4 linked regions of the Xenopus tropicalis genome follow. The protein of the gene in region 3 interacts with the protein of the main gene of each other region in a pairwise test. Links are inferred from orthologs where the notes say so. Each region holds a gene or a part of one and is shown on either strand. Other genes may lie near its edges.

The links.
Region 1: the proteins of ndel1 (region 3) and TRAF3-interacting JNK-activating modulator interact in binary tests that used the Homo sapiens proteins (3 or more experiments, as listed by UniProt). The two-hybrid records come from large-scale screens. The link is inferred for Xenopus tropicalis from reciprocal best matches to the Homo sapiens genes NDEL1 and TRAF3IP3.
Region 2: the proteins of ndel1 (region 3) and pkp2 interact in binary tests that used the Homo sapiens proteins (3 or more experiments, as listed by UniProt). The link is inferred for Xenopus tropicalis from reciprocal best matches to the Homo sapiens genes NDEL1 and PKP2.
Region 4: the proteins of ndel1 (region 3) and mis18a interact in binary tests that used the Homo sapiens proteins (3 or more experiments, as listed by UniProt). The link is inferred for Xenopus tropicalis from reciprocal best matches to the Homo sapiens genes NDEL1 and MIS18A.

What each region holds. Positions count from the first base shown.
Region 1 is NC_030678.2:50,647,814-50,652,261, forward strand, and holds the start of TRAF3-interacting JNK-activating modulator, read right to left. Parts: upstream 3,164-4,448; 5' UTR 3,134-3,163; coding exon 2,792-3,133; intron 611-2,791; coding exon 472-610; intron 1-471. UniProt on the Homo sapiens protein: Adapter protein that plays essential roles in both innate and adaptive immunity. Plays a crucial role in the regulation of thymocyte development.
Region 2 is NC_030679.2:2,928,640-2,933,292, forward strand, and holds the start of pkp2 (plakophilin-2), read left to right. Parts: upstream 1-1,490; 5' UTR 1,491-1,568; coding exon 1,569-1,782; intron 1,783-4,653. UniProt on the Homo sapiens protein: A component of desmosome cell-cell junctions which are required for positive regulation of cellular adhesion.
Region 3 is NC_030686.2:49,776,182-49,780,110, reverse strand, and holds part of ndel1 (nuclear distribution protein nudE-like 1), read left to right. Parts: intron 1-2,315; coding exon 2,316-2,413; intron 2,414-3,010; coding exon 3,011-3,164; intron 3,165-3,929. UniProt on the Homo sapiens protein: Required for organization of the cellular microtubule array and microtubule anchoring at the centrosome. May regulate microtubule organization at least in part by targeting the microtubule severing protein KATNA1 to the centrosome.
Region 4 is NC_030678.2:15,375,692-15,380,224, reverse strand, and holds the start of mis18a (protein Mis18-alpha), read right to left. Parts: upstream 3,164-4,533; 5' UTR 3,108-3,163; coding exon 2,906-3,107; intron 870-2,905; coding exon 803-869; intron 1-802. UniProt on the Homo sapiens protein: Required for recruitment of CENPA to centromeres and normal chromosome segregation during mitosis.

The DNA of each region.
Region 1 (4,448 bases), on a different chromosome or scaffold from region 3:
AACAAGATGAAAAAACAGCAGCAATAAAAACCTAAAAGCTTCAACACTTTATCCTACCCCCTTTCAAATTTTGGAATAAAGTAAGCAACTACTAGAAGACCTAGAATGCAGGTCTTTGGATTATTACACAGTATTATTTTGCTATCCTGTAAATGGATTCAAATGTGAGTTTAAAAGTTTTTATGTAAAAATATTATAAAATAAATTATTATATTCTCATAATATAAATTCACACGCATATGTATATTTATTTAACATATGGCTTTAAGCTGTAAGCCATATTAATAATCTTAATAATAATAACTTTATTACAATTACCTTACTTTATTACAAATTATTCCAATTTGTGTTATTTATTTATTTCTCTCTGGAAAAACTCAGATTCTACACAATCTATAACAGATCCCATACCTGTGTCACATAACTTTCTGCCACAAATATGCAGCGCTAAATATAACCAAACTGCTTTACCTTTTTCTCTCGTGGACATTTTATTCCTGTTGATTAGGTCGTGTGCAGAATCCCATTGAGAACCTTTGTTTAGTGTATCCAGGTTCAAACCTTTATAGTCAAATGGGTAAGTCTTAGAGTGATTATGTTTCCTGGAAAGCTGCAATGTGGAAACATCCAATGATTACAAAAAATTTTTTGATTTATACTAAATTATATAATTAGGCCTGACAATTTACAAAAAAATACAATATACCAGTTTTATAACAGAAAGCTGAATGTATAAGATGTAAGAAAAAATAATGAAACTAAGTAAGAATAAACTACTGCTATCAGCCCCAAAGGATTTTTAAAAAGCCCCTGCTTCCTAGTAATTTATTATGCAGTTCCCAATGATCCCTTGTGTGAATATAAAAAAACAAGTCTAAGCAGAACCCTGTGCACAGAGGGGAAAGATACTAGTCAGGTACTGATAATATTTGAAACAATATTTGGGCACATTTACAAAACAGTAATCTGCAAAGAAGTCTTGTACGTGCACTAAGTATGCATCTGCCCAGGGAAACATGAATATAATGGAGCAGGGAAGAAGATAGTGGTGGCGCCATCAACAGAAAAGTACCCCTAGATTTGGTGTGTCTTTTAAAAGTAGAAAAGAAAAGGATCATTTGCTATTAAAACTTATTAGGCTAATACTCTCAGATGAAAAACAGCACTTGTGAACACTGCCCTTTAATAGGAAACACTGTGCATCAAAACAGGCGCATCGAAATGAGTGTTTCTCAGCAGTGGTCTGGCTGTTACCACAAGATTTGCCATAGGCAGAGCACACCTCAGAGAACACTATGGAAATTAGTGACAGCCATTATTGGGGGCTGTGACCACCGCTGTTTTCCACTCAAGCGCAGTGACCAACAGAATGACAGGTGCAAATAGCCTTAAACAATGATAGAACTATTTATTGTACCATTGTACCATCTCAACACATAGTTATTTATTATTGAAAAATTAATTCAAGAAGCAGTACTTCAAGGCTTATGTTATCTATGCCAGCACTATTAGGGTGATTTAAGAGCTAACTTTGCAACTTTTATTACATTACCCTCTTGGACTTATTTCTAAGTGAGACTTACATAGTTGTCTGCATTGATATAAAATAAAAATTATGTAGTTATGTAGCTATTCTTTTTTTTATCTCCATATGAAGAGTTTAGAAATTAAATGATGCTAGAACCCCTGGTCCATTTCATACTCAGAAATGTTCAGTTCATAATAGCCTCCAAAAGATGGTTCTCATTTGTGAATCATACAGCAGTTGTTGCATTCATGCCGTGCCCCTACAAACATCTGAGATGCCATCAAATGCTGCCCTCAAAACACTTTAATCTTTACAATCCTTTCTACTTCTTTTTATTTTGCTTACAATATACAAGACTTTATGTATTTTATTCATCTTTTTTCAGGCATCAAATATGCTACTCAAAGCTTTAGTTTAAACAAGATTAAAAACAAGTGTTTCATTTTATAAAGTTGGCTAGCCCAATACAATTATGAAATCTTTGCTCTAAGAAATAATGATATTACACTTCATCTCATAAGTACACAAATTGAGAATTACAAAGCCCAGACACCTAGCCACCTTTATGAGTGAGGTTTTTACCCTAATAAGGCAAAACACAGGGGAAAATGGGGGAAATATTAATAAATACAATATGCATTTTTGCACCACACGCATTACTCTTTGTTTCCAGCCAGGCCAAAAAAAACACACACCTTGCACACACTCTTTACCATACAACCTATATGTCATAATGATCCTGACATGCCAATTATAAAAATAGACAGAGAAGAGTGCATTGACTCCAGATATACCAGTAAGATCACTGAAGATGATGGATTCAGATTATTGCATTAACCTCATACATGCCACCAACATCACTCCAGAAAATTGATTTAAACATTGCCTCCCCCATATTTGCACAGAGTACTACAAGGTTTCCTTCTCTCCCAGACTCCCCCATGCCATTAGTCTATTTATCACACCACTGAACAAAAACGATTAAAGATGGCCATGTGTACAAAGAAACCCAACAGCACAAAGACAGTTTTAGACAGTGGGGTCAGTTAGGTGGGCCCCCTCTGAATTTGGGGCCTAAGGTGACTGCCTCATTCACCCTACCCTGAAAGAACTTTTTATGTTATGTAATGTTAATTTTTCTGTTATTAGCATCAAGATACTAAACAAATTAATTTTTACAAGTAATTATGTAAAAATTAGATATCAAGATGGTATATTTATGTGATAATGATTCATACATACAACCACATCATTAACATTTACCTTGTTGTTTTCTGATAAGCCATGATCAGTATTTATAGACTGTAAATGTGTGCTGTGCTTCAATGAAGAATATCTAATATATTTTTGGAATTTTGGGGGAGACCGTATTCGCCTGCCTTCCAAACCCTCGGCCCACAGATGTCTCCTCTTAAAGAACTCCTGCTGACGTAGGGACTGTCCCTGGTTATCCTGTTCTCTTCCCCAGCTGGGAGTGTCCTGGCGACAGGAAGTGATGTTGTAGCGGCTTCGCAGGATTTCATGACATTCCAGTCTCCTCTCAAGTTTGTCCTCAAACCTTTCCTGTTTTTGGGCTGTAGGGGATTTTGAAGGCTCCATGAACATGGCTATCACCTTTAGAGAGCATTAGTATAGTCTTAAACCATTCGTACAATTATGCATCTGTCTTCTTATTTGTCCTTACAAAAGAGAAAGAGAGAACAATTCATGCTCTAAGTTAAAATGTTCCATATGCAGGATGTGAAAATGCTGCATCCCACAAATAATATAATCTCTCATCATAATTATTAGAATGACGAAATATAAAGCACACAGCATATGCAGTCACTTGCATGGATAGAATATATAAAATCCTGGAGTCAGTGGCAGATTTGCATGGGGTAATTCAGGCAGGTGTTCACATTAGTTAATTCCAAGGGGAACTAGTGCCAGCAATAGGTGACGGGGCTAGGGTGAAACAGGGTTCAGGGCGGATCAAGGGTGGTGCCGGGGGTGGATTTGGGTGGAGCCGGAGTACAGCCTGGGGCCAAAGGAATAATAAATCCATACCTGATTGGAGTCATCCAATGCATTAGTGTGGCCATGTAAACAAGTGGTAAGTGTCAGCACTTACTTGTTAGTTTTGTATTCTTAGAAATAAAACTTTAAGCTACATGAATGCGGGTGGTATGGTTTCAGTTATCTGGAATTCTTGGGGCCAGAGGTTTTATAAATAGGAGATCATACAATCATACCACGGTGCACTGTGCCTAAAGGTTATTAAAACCCAAGTAACTGTTAAAAATACAGACTGGTTTGACATCTGCATGGATTTATGTTACATTTATGTTATCTTTTAGGTACAGGTATAAGATCTGTACTGTTTAGGACAGGGGTGGGCAAAGTTTTTGGCTCGGGGGCCACATTTACTCACAGGCGGGCCAGGCCGGGCCAACGTCCTCCCACCAGCTCCCCCTCCACCAGCATCCTCCACCTCTCCGACCTGCAGCTCCCTCCATCGTTCCGCTGCGTCTGTTCCCCGGCTCCCTGCATCCTTTTTTATGGTTGCGCCCCCTGCGTATTGACATCACGAGCACGCACGAAGCGCAACCAATCAGGGCCCAGAAATTATTTAAAGGGACCCGGAGTCGGCGGGCCGGATTAAAAAGGCCAACGGGCCGGATGTGGCCCGCGGGCCGTAGTTTGCCCACCCCTGGTTTAGGACTAGGGTTTTGGATCGGCATACTTTAAGTCTGATAAAAAATCATTTAATCATTAAATAAACAACAGGATTGTTTTGCCACCAATCTGGATTTATACAGTTTAGTTAGAATAAGTACAAGGTACTGTTTTATTATTACAGAAAAAAAATAATTGATGAAAACAAGCTATATGGGAGATGACTGGTTTTGGGATCACGGGTTTCAGGATAAGGAACCCC
Region 2 (4,653 bases), on a different chromosome or scaffold from region 3:
ATAATAATAATAATATAATAATAATATCTAATTGGACCCCCGTGCACTTAGGGTGCCAGGCCTTCAGGGCAGGACAATCCTTGTGCCCCTTAGTTACCCCTAGTAACCATATCTACCTATATTTTATTCATTGTCCTATAAATAAGACACAGTATTTGCCCCACTTTGCATGGAACACAATACAGACAGGGGCAATTAGTCTGAGTGTCATTATTGTATCTTATCTGTGAGAGACAATAGTAGCACATTGGTGGGTAATAAACCCCAGACATGTTAACCCTGTCAGTGCCTGTGTCACCCTGTATAACTCCCTCAGTGACTGCTAATATCCTTATCATTTACAGTAGGGGGTACATTATCCCTTATAATACATGAGTGATACTCAGAGTTCCCTGTATAACTCAGCCTGCAGCCTTGTGCCTTTATATGGGGGGCACAGAACCCCTCAGTGACTGCTAATATCCTTATCATTTACAGTAGGGGGTACATTATCCCTTATAATACATGAGTGATACTCAGAGTTCCCTGTATAACTCAGCCTGCAGCCTTGTGCCTTTATATGGGCACAGAACCCCTCAGTGACTGCTAATATCCTTATAATTTACAGTAGGGGGTACATTATCCCTTATAATACATGAGTGATACTCAGAGTTCCCTGTATAACTCAGCCTGCAGCCTTGTGCCTTTATATGGGGGGCACAGAACCCCTCAGTGACTGCTAATATCCTTATCATTTACAGTAGGGGGTACATTATCCCTTATAATACATGAGTGATACTCAGAGTTCCCTGTATAACTCAGCCTGCAGCCTTGTGCCTTTATATGGGCACAGAACCCCTCAGTGACTGCTAATATCCTTATCATTTACAGTAGGGGGTACATTATCCCTTATAATACATGAGTGATACTCAGAGTTCCCTGTATAACTCAGCCTGCAGCCTTGTGCCTTTATATGGGGGGCACAGAACCCCTCAGTGACTGCTAATATCCTTATCATTTACAGTAGGGGGTACATTATCCCTTATAATACATGAGTGATACTCAGAGTTCCCTGTATAACTCAGCCTGCAGCCTTGTGCCTTTATATGGGGGGCACAGAACCCCTCAGTGACTGCTAATATCCTTATCATTTACAGTAGGGGGTACATTATCCCTTATAATACATGAGTGATACTCAGAGTTCCCTGTATAACTCAGCCTGCAGCCTTGTGCCTGTATATGGGGGGCACAGAACCCTTCAGTGACTGCTAATATCCTTATCATTTACAGTAGGGGGTACATTATCCCTTATGGTACATGAGTGACACTCACATTTCAGGAGGTTGTTGCTGAACTAAAAGACAATAAGTGGGAGACACAGGTGCCTTCCTGCCCCTATGGGGTTAATAGGGAGGGGGAGGCCCAGATCACAGTGCCCGGCCCCGCCCAGCCGCTCCCTAACCCCGCCCAGTTCAGAGCTCAGTCCGGGCTGGGAGCGCAGCGCTGGGTATAACGGGTGGCAGTGCCCGGGGGGTACAGAGAGGCAGCAGGCGATAGGGAGGATACGGAGGGGCACAGGGGGGCACAGGATGGCGCTGGTGATGCCCCCGGGGGGGGAGCAGGGGTATATCCGCACGGTACTGGGGTACGAACACTTCCAGGAGTTGGACAGTTCTACCCTGGCTCTGCCCTCCGAGGAGCGGCTCAAACTCACTGCCAAGGAGCCTGTGGATAAAGCGCAGAGGATCCAGCAACAGGTCCGGCTCACCCTGGCCCGGAGGGGCAACAAGAGCGTAGGGAACGGTAAGTGATTGGCCCTGTAGGGCTTCCTTCCTTCTGTGGGGCATGGGGCTGGGTAAGTGGGGCTGAATGAGTGGATCTGGGGTGTGGCATTAGGGTATGTGGGTAGGTATAGGGTAGGTGAGTGGGTATATGGGGTGTGGGTAGGTATAGGGTAGGTGAGTGGGTATATGGGGTGTGGGTAGGTATAGGGTAGGTGAGTGGGTATAGGGGGATACAGTGTGTGCCAGTGGGTGGATATCGGTTACACTTGGGGTATATTGTGTTGGAGGGGTATATAGGGAAGCTCCAGGGTAAATACTCCGTCTATAATTAATGTTCCTATACAGAGAATATCTCACTGTGTAAGGTGCTGGGCACCCCCCCCCCTCCAGGGCACCCACTCACCCGGGGCACACTCACACCTGGAGCACCCACTCCCCCGGGGCACCCACTCACCCCCGGGGCACCCACACACCCGGGGCACCCACACACCCGGGGCACCCACTCACCCCCGGGGCACCCACTCACCCCCGGGGCACCCACTCACCCCCGGGGCACCCACACACCCGGGGCACCCACTCACCCCCGGGGCACCCACTCACCCGGGGCACCCGGGGCACCCACTCACCCGGGGCACCCACACACCCGGGGCACCCACTCCCCCTGGGCACCCACACACCTGGGGCACACTCAGCACTAGAAACACAGGAAATGCACGACTGTGACGCCTGCACCAATGCAGTAAGTGCCTGCAGGTATCGGTGCAGCGACGCAGTGTGTGCGTGTAACCTACGTGCCTGTGCGTGGAATTAGTGCAGTGACCCGGCGTGTCCTGCCATACAGCTTTGCACAGGTACACAGGGGCGGGGCTTTGTGTTCTGTGTGCAAATGGCTGCACTGATACCCCCAAACAGCCTGTGCCTTAACTGCCCCAACTGCCCCCTTGGGTTGTGGCTCATTTATAGGGATTTATTCACTACGGTAATTGTGCGGGGGGTCAGTACTTGTGAAATGGGAGGCTAATTCTGCCCCAGACTTACCCCTCCCACACACCCCTTCCCTAAAGTGCCCCTGTGCCCACAGCACTAAAATGCACCCCAACAGGGGCCTGTCTGTCACTTGGCGCTAAAACCCATTTTTAAGAGATGCTGATCAATAAGTTATTAATTCATCAGTTCCAATGGTGGCGCTGTTCCATTCAGGTCTATGGGAGACTAATACTGGTGGAAAGTGGTACTGCAGCTAATCATCTATATACCTATTCTAGCACTATGGCAACCCCTACCCATATGTATAAATACAAATATACAGAGAAGGAATGTTCTGGGCACACAATAAGCTGTACCCCCATACTGTACTGTCTAAGGGAAACACTATGGCACCCCCTACCCATATGTATAAATACAAATATACAGAGAGGGAATGCTCTGGGCACACAATAAGCTGTACCCCCATACTGTACTGTCTAAGGGAAACACTATGGCCCCCCCTACCCATATGTATAAATACAAATATACAGAGAGGGAATGTTCTGGGCACACAATAAGCTGTACCCCCATACTGTACTGTCTAAGGGAAACACTATGGCACCCCCTACCCATATGTATAAATACAAATATACAGAGAAGGAATGTTCTGGGCACACAATAAGCTGTACCCCCATACTGTACTGTCTAAGGGAAACACTATGGCACCCCCTACCCATATGTATAAATACAAATATACAGAGAAGGAATGTTCTGGGCACACAATAAGCCCCACCCCCATACTGTACTGTCTAAGGGAAACACTATGGCACCCCCTACCCATATGTATAAATACAAATATACAGAGAGGGAATGCTCTGGGCACACAATAAGCTGTACCCCCATACTGTACTGTCTAAGGGAAACACTATGGCCCCCCCTACCCATATGTATAAATACAAATATACAGAGAGGGAATGTTCTGGGCACACAATAAGCTGTACCCCCATACTGTACTGTCTAAGGGAAACACTATGGCACCCCCTACCCATATGTATAAATACAAATATACAGAGAAGGAATGTTCTGGGCACACAATAAGCTGTACCCCCATACTGTACTGTCTAAGGGAAACACTATGGCACCCCCTACCCATATGTATAAATACAAATATACAGAGAAGGAATTTTCTGGGCACACAATAAGCCCCACCCCCATACTGTACTGTCTAAGGGAAACACTATGGCACCTCCTACCCATATGTATAAATACAAATATACAGAGAAGGAATGTTCTGGGCACACAATAAGCTGTACCCCCATACTGTACTGTCTAAGGGAAACACTATGGCACCCCCTACCCATATGTATAAATACAAATATACAGAGAGGGAATGTTCTGGGCACACAATAAGCTGTACCCCCATACTGTACTGTCTAAGGGAAACACTATGGCACCCCCTACCCATATGTATAAATACAAATATACAGAGAGGGAATGTTCTGGGCACACAATAAGCTGTACCCCCATACTGTACTGTCTAAGGGAAACACTATGGCACCCCCTACCCATATGTATAAATACAAATATACAGAGAGGGAATGTTCTGGGCACACAATAAGCTGTACCCCCATACTGTACTGTCTAAGGGAACACTATGGCACCCCCTACCCATATGTATAAATACAAATATACAGAGAGGGAATGTTCTGGGCACACAATAAGCTGTACCCCCATACTGTACTGTCTAAGGGAAACACTATGGCACCCCTACCCATATGTATAAATACAAATATACAGAGAAGGAATGTTCTGGGCACACAATAAGCTGTACCCCCATACTGTACTGTCTAAGGGAAACACTATGGCACCCCCTACCCATATGTATAAATACAAATATACAGAGAAGGAATGTTCTGGGCACACA
Region 3 (3,929 bases):
TTACTGTAATTAGAAGTGCTTCGTTATGACTTATAACTTACTGACCACCACTTAGTCCATTGTGCCTTAAAGGAAAAAGAAAGGTAAAGTCACTTGGGGGTGCCAAAATGTTAGGCACCCCCAAGTGACTTTAACCGCCTACCTTTTACCCCGGGCTGGTGCCGCTGTCAGGAGAAAATAGCACCAGCCCGGGGTAGCTGCCGGCGCTTCCTCCTTCCGGCTTCGCTGCGCGCGCATGCGCAGTAGAGTGAAAAGCCGAACTTAAACATTTAAGTCGGCTTTTTCGCTCTACTGTGCATGCCCAGCCACCGGCAGTTTAGGAAGTGGAAGGCGGAAGGAGGAAGTGCTGCGCTCCAGGTGCCCCGGGCTGGTGCTATTTTCTCCGAACAGGGGCACCAGCCCGGGGTACAAGGTAAGCGGTTAAAGTCACTTGGGGGTGCTTAACATTTTGGCACCCCCAAGTGACTTTGCCTTTCCTTCCCCTTTAAGGTGGCCACACAGGTAGACCTAAGCAGCCAATTAAGTCCTTCAGACCAATTTGGAAGGCCTACCTGACTGATATCTGCCCGTATATGGGCCCCTAACAGGCCTACCTGACTGATATCTGCCCGTATATGGGCCCCTAACAGGCCTACCTGACAGATATCTGCCCGTATATGGGTCCCTAACAGGCCTACCTGACTGATATCTGCCCGTATATGGGCCCCTAACAGGCCTACCTGACTGATATCTGCCCGTATATGGGCCCCTAACAGGCCTACCTGACAGATATCTGCCCGTATATGGGTCCCTAACAGGCCTACCTGACTGATATCTGCCCGTATATGGGTCCCTAACAGGCCTACCTGACTGATATCTGCCCGTATATGGACCCCCAACAGGCCTACCTGACTGATATCTGCCCGTATATGGGTCCCTAACAGGCCTACCTGACTGATATCTGCCCGTATATGGACCCCCAACAGGCCTACCTGACTGATATCTGCCCGTATATGGGCCCCTAACAGGCCTACCTGACAGATATCTGCCCGTATATGGGTCCCTAACAGGCCTACCTGACAGATATCTGCCCGTATATGGGTCCCTAACAGGCCTACCTGACTGATATCTGCCCGTATATGGGTCCCTAACAGGCCTACCTGACTGATATCTGCCCGTATATGGGTCCCTAACAGGCCTACCTGACTGATATCTGCCCGTATATGGGTCCCTAACAGGCCTACCTGACTGATATCTGCCCGTATATGGGTCCCTAACAGGCCTACCTGACTGATATCTGGCCCCCAACAGGCCTACCCGACCAATATCTGCCTGTATATGGGCCCCCAACAGGTTTGATTTTCCCGTCAGATCGAGGCCACATTGGCTCATTGATAATGTACTCGGTCCAATGGCCCCTGTGTCTGTCATTGTGATTAGATTGTCGGCCTGATATTGCCCACCTTAGGGTATACTGGGAGAAGATCTGCTCGTTTGGCGAATGTTACAGTGATTGTGTTTTACTCTTAAATTGTCCTTGATTTCTATTAATGTTCATATTTAGCAACATGTGATTGGTGCATCAGCAGTGGGGCCTTTGTTTGGGCAGTGTGAATGCTTCTCATGCCCCTCTGTGTAAGGAAACGGTTAAAGGGGTTGTTCATCTTTAAAAATGAAATATGAGACATTTTAAATTATTTTGCTTTTGGTTCAGCAGCTCTCCAGTTAAATTTTAGCAAGCTATCTGATGCTAGGGTCCAGTTTAACCTAGCAACCAGGTAGTGGTTTGAAAGAGAGACTGGTATATGAATAGAGGACAGCCATGATATAAAGATGAGGAATAAAAAGTAACAATAACAATAAAACTGGAGCCTCACAGAGCAATAGGGTTTGGCTGCCGGGGTCAGTGACCCCAATATGAAAACTGGAGTCAGAAGAGGAAGGCAAATAATGAAACTAGACCAATTACAAAGTTGCCAAGAATATGGTGTTCTATATAACAAACTAAAAGTTAACGTAAAGGTGACCCCACCCCTTTATGGGGGGCCGCAGAGGTGTGAATGTGTGGGGGCGGGTTGGGGAACATTAATATATCCAGCCTTTACTTGTTCCCTATTGAAGCCACAAACATCTCTATTTATCTGTAATGGAGCCTGACGCTTTCATGTCCCGTATAAATCCCCACAGAAGCTCTGCTAATCTTCCCTCCTTCAGGCGCAACAAGTGTGACTTGCTTTACAGCTGTCACAATACTGTTCCAACGCTTGCCTTACGCCGCACAATCCTCTCTGATTTGTTTCCCCTCCATTAGCCCCCTCCTTTCCCATCTCTTGCAGATTTCCTTAACCATGGAGAACGAGGAAATCCCTGAATTCCTGAGCCCCAAGGAGGAGATTGTCTATTGGCGGGAGCTGGCAAAGAGACTGAAACAGAGGTATTTTCATTGGTTCCCAGCCCTTTTGTTATTCAGCGACTAAATGGGGCATTCTTTGCCCCGGTCCTGCCCCTTGGAACTGTGCCTGGGAAAGCACGTTTGTAACCGACGCCATTGAAACCCGTTTGTACCATCCCAGTTTAACCAGATGGGAAGGAAAACCCCTCGCATTAACCCCTCAGCGTGCAGCTTGGCCACGGTTAAAGGGGTTGTTTACCTTTGAGTTAATTTATAGTATGATGTAGAGAGTGATATTCTGGGATAATTTGCAATTGGTCTTCCAGAGAGTTAAATAGTTGAAAAACTACAAAAAATAAAGACCAATTGCAAATTGTCTCAGAATATCAATGTTTATATCAGACTAAAAGTTAATTATAAGGTGAACATCCCCTTTAAAGGAAAGTAGGGAGTGAGTCCTGGCCAGTGTGACATCTTGTTTTTGGCTTGACTTGCCCTTTATGTCAGAATAAAGGGCAAGTTACTTAGGGAGATGCCCTTTATCTTTGTGTATTGTGTGCAATAATGAATTGAATATTGATATACAATAGGCTACAATCGGCACCAATAGCCAACCGTAACTGGCGTTTCTCTCCTTAGTTACCAAGAGGCCCGCGATGAACTGATAGAGTTTCAGGAGGGGAGCCGAGAGCTGGAGGCCGAGCTGGAAACGCAACTGGTGCAGGCGGAACAGAGAAACCGGGATTTGTTATCTGATAACCAAAGGCTAAAGTGCGAGGTGGAGTCACTGAAGGTAAAGGGCTCTTTTACTGGCCAATTGTTGTATATCTGTCTCTCTCTGGCCTTCTCCATTGGCACATACCTGCACAATATTTTGCCCCCTATTGTAAAACATAGGGATATTATAAGTCCCCGAGGAGTTCCTTATAATATATAGTGAATAAAGTGCCCCCTATTGTAACATATAGGGATATTATAAGCCCCCGAGGGGTTCCTTATAATATATAGTGAATAAAGTACCCCCTATTGTAACATATAGGGATATTATAAGTCACAGAGGAGTTCCTTATAATATATAGTGAATAAAGTACCCCCTATTGTAACATATAGGGATATTATAAGCCCCCGAGGGGTTCCTTATAATATATAGTGAATAAAGTGCCCCCTATTGTAACATATAGGGATATTATAAGTCCCCGAGGAGTTCCTTATAATATATAGTGAATAAAGTGCCCCCTATTGTAACATATAGGGATATTATAAGTCCCCGAGGAGTTCCTTATAATATATAGTGAATAAAGTGCCCCCTATTGTAACATATAGGGATATTATAAGTCCCCGAGGAGTTCCTTATAATATATAGTGAATAAAGTGCCCCCTATTGTAACATATAGGGATATTATAAGTCCCCGAGGAGTTCCTTATAATATATAGTGAATAAAGTACCCCCTATTGTAACACTTAGGGATATTATAAGCCCCCAAGGGGTTCCTTATTATATATAGTGAATAAAGTACCCCCTATTGTAACATATAGGGATATTATAAGCCCCCAAGGG
Region 4 (4,533 bases), on a different chromosome or scaffold from region 3:
GAAGGTCAATCTGGATTCCGATAGCTTTCAGGCCTCCTACTCCTTCAGTGTGGAACATACATAGTGCTTAACCCCACAATCAAGATGGTTTGAGCCTCAGGGATCATGGGCAGGGAGAGAAAGTTCATATGGGGGTTCTGCACCCCTTCAGTTACCCCAAAAACATCATGTCTGTCTGCCTGTCGCTGAACACTGACGGACATCTGCTTCCTATTTCCTCTGTTATTCCCTGCGGGATGTATTGTTTACAAACACTGAAGCCCATGTAATTATCAGCTCAGGGGTAAGTGGGTTGGCCAAAGCCAGGGGCATTAGGAGGCAGGAAGGCAGCCATATCTAATACAATAAGGAGAAGACATCCAAGTACTGAAGTGATTTTCTAGCTGGGACTTCAGCACCTTAAGAGACTAGGGACAAAGTGTTTCAGTCATGCTGCAGGGCAATAGGATTTACGGATTTAACACACTGTAATGTCAGTGTCAGAATTGGCCTCTAACAAGTGTTGGGCGTAGGGAACGGAGGCAGATCCTGGGTAACATATCCATTAATCATAAAGAACTGCCCCAGAGTGGGCATCGCAGGAGGGGTAATTCACATGGCTAAATGAATAAAGGGAATGGATATAAGACATGTAAAGCCAACAATAATGGCTGATAATGAGAAGCAGGAGCCATAACAACAGGTATAAATGCTCCATCATTAGGTGGAGTCGCAACCTGATAGGCCCTACAGCCAATCAAAATCTGAATAGCCCTGCTTGGTTTCCATGGGGATGGGAATGCCACTAGAACAACATACTTACCAGCCATAGTCACTGGAAACCTTCGAGACGATCTGCACTTTATCCACCGAAACGTATTCAGATACAGCTGCAAGAGAACCACATGCCGATCAATTCAGTTTTTAAAAATAAGGAAAGAAAAATCAAAAGTCCCAATAGACCTTTAACAGGACATGATGCTGGTCACATGGTACACTCAGCGGTCGTTAAAGGGGACATACTGCGTGGAAAACAATATTGTGCCAATGAATTGTACTCATTAACTATAGAAGGAATGTACTTTAAAAAGTAGTGTTTCAAGTTGATTTACTAAAAATTTCTTTAAAAACCCCATTAGTCCCGCCCATCTGTTCCTCTGCTGCCTCCTTTCCCAGGCTGTGCGGGGGGGCCGGCAGCTCTCAGTACACTGCAGGACAGGAACCAATCAGCAGCCAGGCTGACCTGATAGGGAACTGAAGCCTGTCTTTGCTTTAAAGGAACAGTAACACCAAAAAATGAAAGTGTATAAAAGTAACTAAAATGTAATGTGCTGCTGCCCTGCACTGGTAAAAGTTGTGTGTTTACTTCAGAAAGTCTATAATTTATATAAATAAGCTGCTATGTAGCCATGGGGGCAGCCATTCAAAGGAGAAAAGGCACAGGCACATAGCAGATAACAGATAAAACACTATTGTATTCTACAGAGCTTATCTGTTATCTGCTATGTAACCTGTGCCTTTTCTCCTTTTTTCCAGCTTGAATGGCTGCCCCCGGGGCTACACAGCAGCTTATTATATAAATTATAGTAGTGTTACTGTAGCAAACACACCAGTTTTACCAGTGCAGGGCAACAGTGCATTATATTTTTATTACTTTAAAGCTCTTTCATTTTTTGGTGTTACTGTTCCTTTAATCCTATATGTCTCCTTTAAATTGCATACCCACATGGAGCCCCTCTAAGATCAGATGCAGCCCCTAGATTTTACAGACGCCACCCTGGAGTGTTTGAGTGCTCCCTGCAGATTGTATAGACACAAATAATTCTGTACACATGTATAGTGTCAACTAATGAACCCTCACACCTTCAATTACACATCAGCACAATATTGTCTGAGAAGTGCAAAGCTTTAATCCTTTTCTATTCTCTGCACTGCTTGCCTGACTACAGAAACAATGTAGCACAGGGGTCGGGAACCTTTTTGGCTGAGAGAGCCATAAACACCACGTTTTAAAATGTAATTCCGTGAGAGCCATACAATATGTTTAACCGCGGATGCTGCGGGGAAAGGTAGGGTGGATCCCAAGGATGCCGGATGCGGTGCAGAGGAGGGCGTGGCCTGCGCTCGGCGAATAGAAGACGTGTTCTAAGGCTTAGAATACTCTTCTACCTGCCGAGTGCAGGGGCAAGGTAGGGTGGGTGCAAAGGATGCCGGATGCAAAGCGGAGGAGGACATGGCCTACGCTTGGCGGATAGAAGACGCGTTCTAAGCCTTAGAACACGTCTTCTATCCGCCGAGCGCAGGCCACACCCTCCGTTATTTTTTTATTAAAGATTTGGCAGCGAGAGTCAGATGCAGCCATCAAAAGAGCCACATCTGGCTCCCGAGCCATAGGATCCCTACCCCTGCTGTAGCAGAACCATCTCTCCTCCAGCCAAAAGTTCCCATAATGCCTTGCATGCTTCTGAGCTCACCCTCTCCAGTCTGCTAATGGCAGAATATACAAGGCAATTTTGCAACAGGAGGCCGGGATGGAGGAGAGCTGACTAACCATATAAAACTCCAAAAAGCCAGCAGTCAGGACAAGCGTATTTTAGCCACTTGCTTTACAGCAATAAATAACTTTAAAATCATTAACATTGTCATTTAATGTGCAGGTAGGCAACTCCTATAATGAACTCTCTGCAATGCTTAGTAGGGCGTTAAAATGTCAAATATTAAATTAAATGTGTGGTCAAAAGAAAGAAACAAAGTGGGGTACTTGGTGACTTTCTGCTGCTGCTGCAGGTCTAGTATTAGGGACACTAATAGAACATGGTAGCACAGCGACGCCTAGTGGCAGAGCGCTAACACTGCACACAATAGAAACAGCAGAACCAGTAACCCCGCATAATAAAAACCAAGGTCCATTTTCCCCATTCAGCACCTTTCAGTAGTATTGTCTGCTCCCCCATGTCGCTGCCCATCCAGCTGTACGTGTCACCTATCGGCCTCTTGCAATGGCTGCAAAGAAACACGACCGGCGGATCATCCTGTGAATTAGATAGCTTCCCCGCGTTTTCATTTTCTCCCCCATAGGTACAATTGGCGGACATTAGGCTCGCATTCTTATCTGCCGCCATTTCCATTCAAGCGCAAACCGGAAATGACGTAGCGCACCGAGCAGCGCTCTGATTGGATAGTCTCCTGGAGTTGCCCGGACGTTTACGTTTCTTTATGGTGTTTGATAAAAAATACCCACAAAGACCAACCCATAGATATTGTGTGATGATTAAAGATTCCCTCATACAAAAGTTTTCCAAGAAAATGACCATTGTACCTATGCACTGTTATGTACCTCTTCAATAAACTTACCTGAGTAAAAAAAAAAAGATTCCCTCATGTTGTTGGGAGTATATTTATGGGGAACTTTTTATTTCTAAATGACACTGTTTACATAGCAAATAATTCCCTCTGCCATTTAAACTTTTATTCTTGAACCAACAAATGTATTTGTAGCTGTAATATTGGTGTGTAGGCGCCATCTCAGTGCCTTGTGCCTGAGTCTGAGCTTTCAGCCAGCGCTACACATTAGAACTGCTTTCAGCTAACCTATTGTTTCTCCTACTCCCATGTAACTGGAGGAGTCCCAAGCCGGACTTGGATTTCTTACTATTGAGTGCTATTCTGATACCTACTGGGAGCTGCTATCTTGCTCCCTTCCCATTGTTCTGCTGATCGCCTGCTGGAAGGGGAGGGGGGGGATATCACTCCAACTTGCAGCACAACCGTAAAGTGTGACTGAAGTTTATCAGAGCACAGGTCACATGGCTGTGGTACCCTGGGAAATGAAGAGTATGGCTAGCCCCATGGGAAATTTCAAAATTAAATATAAAAAATCTGTTTGTGTTTTTAAAAAACAGATTACAATGCAGGATTCTACTGGAGAAGCTCTATTAACTGATGGGTTTTGAAAAAAAATATATTTTCCCATTACAGTATTCCTTTAAAGCGTCCCACATCCATATTGGGAGTGACAAGCTGACAAGCTTTACCTAGGGTTGCAACCTGGCCTGTAAAAATGATGCTTGATGCCAATATTATTAATAGGCAAAAAGAGCAAATACAGTATATAGGAAGGTCAGTATTTTTTCCAGAAAAAAATTACAACTTTAGGTTTACCTTTTGAAGCCACTTCTGTCTCATTGGTCCCCCAGGTTGTCGATCAGGATGGGTGACACCTGCGATCTTGAGCTAGGGTTGTCACCTGGCTTGTATTTTACCAGTATAGCCGGTAAAACACCCGGCAAGGCCGGGAACAGTGCATTGCCGGTAAATGTGTAATATCTCTACATTTAGCCCCTGTGCCACCCACCTAAGCTTGTGACCCAAACCAACCTTTTGTCACCCCCCCCACTCTACTTTTAAACCACCTGTCGTTATCATAGCTCTGCCCCTTTTGACAGCATCCATATCCCTTGTCATGCTCCATTTACATCATGGCCCGTCCCATTTTGTCCCCACTCCCAGCCACCCATATTGCGTTCCACCTGCGTTGGGCACTTACATGCACCT